Nothobranchius furzeri: one gene and its partner. The protein of the gene in region 1 purifies or fractionates together with the protein of each later gene. This does not show direct contact. Links are inferred from orthologs where the notes say so. Each region holds a gene or a part of one and is shown on either strand. Other genes may lie near its edges. The genes, in order: ikbkb and prkcq.

Region 1 (3,822 bases):
ACCCCTGCAGCACTTCCAGCATTTTTTCTATTTTCATGAAATAATCCATTGTTTGGAACAACACCCCCTTCACCACATTTTTAAGGATCTCGGGAGCTCTTTCATTGGGCGAATGTTAATGCCCTGGTGCTCCACTGAACGTTTTAGGAACTCTTTTATTCCAGCTGCAGTGCGTTTTTACAATGAGCATTTCGTATGATTGTATATTTGATATTTTTATCATGATTGTGGCTTATAGCAGTGACCAGTGAATGTTTTATTGTGTGGATGTGCATGTTGTGTTTACTTGTCCAAGGCAATTCAATTTCCCCCTGGGGGATTAATAAAGTCAACCTCGAACCTTGAACCTTGAACTGGTTTGGGTTTGCTGCGACGTACGTGGAGCGTGGCACTTTTATTCCAAGAGGGTGTTCATTTATTCAGAAATGAGGGTTACATTTGTCTTGCTTGTGATTAAATAAAAAACTAAATTGGCTTTAAGATGCCTTCCATTTGTACTTATTGCAATTATTTATAATTGAGGAGGAACGAATCATAAAAAAATTCGTAAATCAAATACAAAAAAATAAAATTGGAGATTTTATTTTTAGGTCGTATCGCCCAGCCCTAGTAACACACCATGAGATCCTGAGGAGGTAAAAAATGTGATTTTCTTTTAAAGAGCAAGTCAACCCCTACCAGAGTCTAACTCCACTCTCACTTCATGTTTGAAAAATGCAACACATGCTGTTGCCTGGCAGACCGAGAAGGCGGAGCCACTAACAAATACCCACACACACAGGCTCACGACAGCATTGTGACATCATAATGTACCAGTTTACATCATAGCATACCTCTTAGCCAATAGCGGTGGCAGATTTAAATTAAAATACAGTGCAGAGTTTTTACCTTACAACGGCACAACACTGCCAGTTTTAGGCAAAATATTTAAATTTTAACTAAGATGCACTGAAGTGCGAAATTAATCACTACATCTGTCTGCAGCACGATTAGACACTCGTTTATTTAGTTTATCAGCGAAAAAAAGCTTATTTGGGGGTGACTTGCTCTTTAAAGTTTTCTTCAATCTAACTGCTCTGTAAGGCAAGCAATTTGCTTTTGTTTTTCTCTTTTACATGTATAAATGTCTCTGCCTTCTAATAATGAACAACAACAGAAAAGTAAAAAAAAAACAAGAGTAAACATCAAGAAAAAATTACTTGAGGTTTTTTATTTTTAGTTTGTAAAATGTCCCATTTGTTTAAATCAAGGGGGCGGGACATAGCATTGCACGTTTTAGCCGTTGGCTAATGCAGATACAAATTCAATGCCTTGCATAGTTTCAAGCTGAAGATGGAACTAGACGTGACGTTTTTAGGCTGAATTTAGAGTTTTTAAAGAAAATGCACCAAAATGCAAAACGAATGACTACACCTGTCTACAGCATATTTGACACTCATTTATAGTTTATCAGCAAAAAAAGTTGATTTTGGTGTGACTTGCTCTTTAAAGCTTATACAGGAGTCAGCCACTAGAGGGCAGCTGTTCCTTTTAGTTTAAATCCTGTGTCTCTAAAAGCTGCAATAGCAAATTTGGAAAACATAGTGTAGCTACAGATATATTGTGGTGATAAATAAGCAACAAAAATACCTAATAAAGTGGTTCTCTCACATTTGTAATAAAACCTCCACCAATAACACGTTTTGGACCAAAGCAACCATTAGACCATCTGGTTGTCTGTCTCGCAGAACCTCCACATTCACCCTGAGTCCTTCACTTTTACACATTTGATAGTTTAGCAACAGAACACCACTGGTGTGAGAGGTTCATGGTTCAATAATATCAGAGGAGGAGAAACAGCCGGCTGCTACCGCTTCAACTTTAGAACAAACTACCAGAGGCCCAAAAAGAAAAACACCTTTTAAATCCACGGACAACAACAGACATTTGGACCTAGAACGCTAGCGACTGGTGTTTAGCACTATCTCAGTTGCTCTGACAACGCGGGTTTTCGGTTCCGGCAGAAGTACCTCAGGGGTGGGGTGAGTGTTCCGTGATCGGGTTTACCTTCAAAACCTAGCTTGTTCTGTAGATTCACTAAAGCAGCTTTAAAGAGCAAGTTGACCATGTTTTATTTGTTATTTTTGACACCCGTCACTATGAGTTTCACTCACAGCGTAAATGTGAAAATTGTTTTCTACACACAATTTGCTGCATTTGCCACTGATAGAAAATAGACGAGGAGATGCGCGGGTCAGAAAAAGCAACACAGATCTACATTAAATTGTCCGTTCATGGACTCATCCATCTCGGCTTGTGATTGCGGGAGGTTGTTTGGATTTAGTGTCCAGGGGAGAACAAATTGCCTCTTAGCTAGTAGACGCTAACCGTTAGCATTAGCAACTCCACAACAAGGCAGAACTCCTTTAGTCTTGTGTTATCTGTGGAGATAAATCATCAACATTGCAGAGTGAATGGAGGCAGTGGAAGAGTAGTGTTGCTGTTAACCAATCAATCAATCAATCAATCAAATTTTATTTCTAAAGCGCTTTTCAAACAAAGTGTGATTCAAAGTGCTTTACAAAATGACCCCAGATTCCCATAACAGGTTAAAAACATTAACAAACATATGCAAGCACACGCACACACAGACTCACACACACACAAGTAAAAATTATATTAGGCTGAGTCCAGATGAGCCAAGTATGGTGACGCAAGGAAACGCCATCAGAGGAGCCGTCTGCCCCGGCAGCATCAGGTCTTCCACACTAAGTCAGGGCGCTCAGTGGAGGGGGGGCATAGACCCCCACCTATAGAGCGCCCAGGAAGCTACAGTCGACCACCGCTCCCGGGGCAGAGGGCCCCCACAGAGGAAACACTGGATTAAAATGAGTAAAAATGTAATAAAAGAGCTAATATAAATGACAACAATTAGAAAATAAGTAATAAATAAAATGATATAGACAGTAAAATAATAATTTCAATAATAAAAGTGTGCTAAAGTATAATTATATAGAACATGCAAAGCAAGTAATAAAATATAATCATGTAAAACGAAAAATAAATCAGAAGCGAGATGTCTGAGTATCGTAAATATTAATGAGTAAGACACCAAACTGCTGTTTTCTGTTCCCACTCCTCCGGTTAACTTCTACTTCCTGAGAGTTTTTTACGAAAGGAAACGACTCATAAGGCATTCATTTATACTAGAGACCACAGCAAATGTATTGAATGAGAGGTTTAATGATTTTAGAAAAAAAAACAATTTTTTGTGTAAAACATTAGTAAGTTTCTACATCAGGTGATAGCATGAAGTGTTTTTCAGGAAGTTTTCACTTCGCTGATGTTGTGTCTTCTCTCAGGTTGGATCATGTTAACGTGGTCGCAGCCCGAGAAGTTCCCGAGGGGATGCAGCAACTCGTAGCCACCAATGATCTGCCGCTGATGGCCATGGAGTACTGTCAGGGCGGAGATTTGAGAAAGGTGTGGATGTTGGAGAACATGTGCATAAGCATGATTTGATTGGCTTGTTACCACAAGGGTTGAGTCTCTATTTTAGTTTTGAATTTATACTTTTGTCCACATTTCCCGTCAGATTTTATTACGTTTGTACTGAATACTTTCTAACGTTATGCTGGCGTTTACCACCTGTTCTCATGTTGATGATTTGTATAAATTCTTTTTAGTCCTTTGCACCATCCAGTTGTGACAATTTGAAAAGAAAGTCTGACTTAGATATGAACATTTGAAGTTTTAAAAGCTACTTTAAATTCATTAGGAAACTTCAGAGATTACAAACAATCCAGTAAAAGTGTTTTCTGCTCGAGTTTATGTTACTCAGAT
Region 2 (3,822 bases), on another chromosome or scaffold:
TCTCAGGGTTTTTTTTATAAAGTAAAATCAGAAGTAAGGCGACCCGCAGCAGCGGCCAGCGGCAAAGCCGTCGACGCGTTCTGTTCTGTGGCGAAATCGAATCTTCTGTTGTTTTGATTGGCTGTGTCAGGTTGGAGGGAATTAAGGTTATTTAAGCGGTTCAGAGTTTAAAAAAGCGGTAGATATGATGTTTCACAAGGTGCTGCTAGAGTTATGTGAAGCCTCCCGTGTATCAGGTAATAAAAACGACAGCAACGCATTTCGCTGATTGCGGTCGTTTGTCGCCTCCCGTGTATCGAGCCCACAACCAGGTAGGTAGGTTTTAACGTTGCAAATCTGCAACGCCTGCCTCCAGAGGGTTAAGCAAACTTCCAGCTTCTCCTGGCATAACCCCGTATCGCATGCTGGGTACTGGGGGTAGGGGTTGTATCAACTAGCCGACTAGTCGACTTCACTGCTCTGTAGTGACTTTTTATGCCTTTCATAGACTAGTCGCTGTCACGTGATAATGACCGACAAGATGGAGTCCTCGGAAAAGGCAGCAGGTGATGTGCCCCTGCGCGTCGGTATCTGACGCCCGCCGTAAAACGGACATTTGACCGAATTGTGACCTTTACCCTCTTGCAATTTAACCTTTACCTCACCCCCATCCTAACCTTAACCTACGGTGGCCCTGAAGTGCAAACCACAAAAACAAATCACAAAACGCACAACAAAATGAAAAGCGCAAAAACAAATTCACTAAACGCAAAACCAAATTGAAAACCACAAAAACAAAAAACAAACCGGAAAAGGTAGGTACCAATGATGCAACAACAGGCATCACTGATTGAATGATGGATCCGTTGGCCTTTTGAACCGGAAGTTGTTCTGCCGAACGTGGTTATGTGAAAGAGCAGTCAGCGGGTGTGTCCGAATCCACAGGAAGGATGCTTGGAGTACGGGTCCTTGCCGGTCTAGCAAGGCCGGGTACTTGCCAGACCGCTAAGACCGGAACCCAGCGGCTCTGAATTCGGACAGTCTAGCCTTCACCTCTACGGTGGCCCGTAGGTCCCGTCACAGCCGTGGCGGCAACTAATGTAATGTAATGTAATGTAAATTGGACCTTAGAACTTATTTTGCATCAAATGGGGGTAAAACCCACCTTTCTCAGGGGCCTAGTGGTAGAGTGTCCGCCCTGAGACTGGGAGATCAGGGTTCGATTCCTGGTCGGGTCATACCAAAGACTTTGAAAAAATGGGACCCAATGCCTCCCTGCTTGACACTCAGCATTAAGGGGTTGGATTGGGGGCTTAAACCACCAAATAGTTCCCGAGCGCGGCTGTGTCTGCAGCTCACCGCTCCCCCAGGGGATGGTCAAATGCGGAGAATAAATTTCGCACACACACCTGTGTGTGTGACAACTAATGGGACTTTAACTTTAACTAGCAAGGACCCGGCCTTGCTAGACCGGCGAGGACCCGTACTCCAAGCATCCTTCCTGTGGATTCGGACACACCCGCTGACTGCTCTTTCACATAACCACGTTCGGCAGAACAACTTCCGGTTCAAAAGGCCAACGGATCCATCATCCAATCAGTGATGCCTGTTGTTGCATCATTGGTACCTACCTTTTCCGGTTTGTGTTTTGTTTTTGTGGTTTTCAATTTGGTTTTGCATTTAATGAATTTGTTGTTGCGCTTTTCAATTTGTTGTGCGTTTTGTGATTTGTTTTTGCATTAAGTGATTCGTTGTTGCGTGTTTCAATTTGTTGTTGCGGTAAATGATTTGTTTTTGTGGTTTGCACTTCAGGGCCACCGTATTAACTAGCTTGCGCAAGCAAAACTTTGTTTCGTGTTTCATCCTTCCTCTCAAACACGCTTAACGGAAAATTTAGACTAACATACTGAGTAAAGGTTAGGATGGGGTGAGGGGAAGGTTAAATAGCAAGAGGGTAAAGGTCACAATTCAGTGAAATCTCCGTTTTACCTCGGGCGCCAAAAAGCGAGCAGAGCAGAGCGTCGCCTCCCGACGCGCGTCGGAAAAAAACGCTTGGTCACCCATCGTCAGTTTTAGCCGCTTCAGGTGTATGACGTCATCAATGATTCGCCAAAGTCGACTAGATTTTCACTACTTGACTGTCGACTTTTCAAAAAATGAAGTCATGCAACCCCTACTGGTGGGCATTCTCGCTGACTGACAGCTCCGTCTTGTGATCCGCGATTCCAGATTCACGTAAATGATTCGTTCTGTAGAGCTGGATAAATAAAAATGATGAAAGGTTATCTACTCAGTACCATAAAGGAGGGGTAGATAATCAGATTTACTTTGAGTTACTTCATTTAAACCAGCTACCCCAGCTTTAATGGTACGTGTTAGGGTTTTAATATATTTCACTGTCTTAAATGTTCTTTTCTAAGTAATCGTGTTGTAAAGTAAGTCTCGGGGCTTTTTCCTTTCAGCCCTGCTCTGGTATGCTGATAAGGCATGTAGTTTGTCTTTGTGTGGGGTTGGTGGAATAATCTGCCCAGCAACAGGAATCCATAGTTTCTGAGTGACTCAGCAGTTTTCGGCTGTCGGCAGGCAACTCCATAAATTGAGACTTCCTTTTTGGAATGTCCCGCCTTAGCCTAGAAACAACACTGTTATTGGCTAGCGGAGACAGTGATGACTTGCTCTTTGTTCATTTTTCCTGTGTTTTAATTAAAACGCTGTGGTGGGGGGAGAGAGTTAGAGTGAGTCTGGCCGAGTTGCTATTCACACATCTTCCGCCTCTCTCTCCGCTGCAGCGTATAACCTTATTGATCCTTTCTCTTGTGTGGTTTATTTTAAGGATATAAAAATACCCAACGGTACGTAAAACCTGAGCTCAGCTGAAAGTGAAAGTGTCTCGTCAGCTTTTCCAGATATTTGTGTTTGTTTTTACCAGATCCTGTTGGGTCAGAAGTACAACAGCTCAGTGGACTGGTGGTCATTCGGCGTGCTGCTCTACGAGATGCTGACTGGTCAGTCTCCTTTCCACGGCTGCGACGAAGAGGAGCTGTTTCAGTCCATCCGAACAGATAATCCCGTTTATCCCAGCTGGCTGACTAAAGCAGCAAAGGACATTCTAGTCAAGGTAAAGGGCTGTGAGTTAAATAAGAAAAGTATAACAGCCCAATGAGAAGGCTAAAGAATAAATGCTGTAATATGTGTAGTTTTATCATTTATTCCCGTCTTCCCTTCGTGTCTGACACGGGTGCCCGGTGTGTAACGGGTGTGTCGTCCATCAGCTGTTTGTGAGGGAGCCTGAGGAGCGGCTGGGCGTGAAGGGCAACATCCGACATCACGGGTTCTTCAGCAGCGTCGACTGGAAGGCTGTGGAGCAACGGCAGGTGGCGCCGCCCTTTAAACCCACTTTGGTACGCAGAAAAACATCCTGTCTACTCCTTGCGTTTATCTCCAGTCAAGATGTGCTGCAGTTGTTTAGATCCCAACAATAAACATCTCGTCACTAACAAAACAACTTGAGAGCATTTCCAAGGAAAACTAAATAAATTCTTTAGAAATTGTCTAATTCCAGGAACGATATTATTGTGTCTGATCTGTGAAGCTGTTCAGACATGCAGGAAAGCCTTTCCTCCATCAGTGCATCCATCACCCAGGTTAGGGTGGTCTCTGACTAAACCACCATCACTGGTAGCGACCACACAGCCTAACGAGTTTCTCAGGAGGAAGTGAGGATGAGTGAGGTTTTTCATATGAGTAGAACATTTTAATTTTGCTGATCACATCAGTACACTTGTTTAGTTAGCCTAGGTCTTGGCAGCTTAGCGGACATCCTCCTTGCCACTCTTACACCTT

What was found.
Region 2: the proteins of ikbkb (region 1) and prkcq purify together in Homo sapiens (affinity purification with western blotting; 4 studies listed by BioGRID). This does not show direct contact. The link is inferred for Nothobranchius furzeri from reciprocal best matches to the Homo sapiens genes IKBKB and PRKCQ.

Annotation. Positions count from the first base shown.
Region 1 is NC_091757.1:55,657,958-55,661,779, reverse strand, and holds part of ikbkb (inhibitor of nuclear factor kappa-B kinase subunit beta), read left to right. Parts: intron 1-3,341; coding exon 3,342-3,462; intron 3,463-3,822.
Region 2 is NC_091741.1:35,642,488-35,646,309, reverse strand, and holds part of prkcq (protein kinase C theta type), read left to right. Parts: intron 1-2,908; coding exon 2,909-3,097; intron 3,098-3,251; coding exon 3,252-3,380; intron 3,381-3,822. UniProt on the Homo sapiens protein: Calcium-independent, phospholipid- and diacylglycerol (DAG)-dependent serine/threonine-protein kinase that mediates non-redundant functions in T-cell receptor (TCR) signaling, including T-cells activation, proliferation, differentiation and survival, by mediating activation of multiple transcription factors such as NF-kappa-B, JUN, NFATC1 and NFATC2.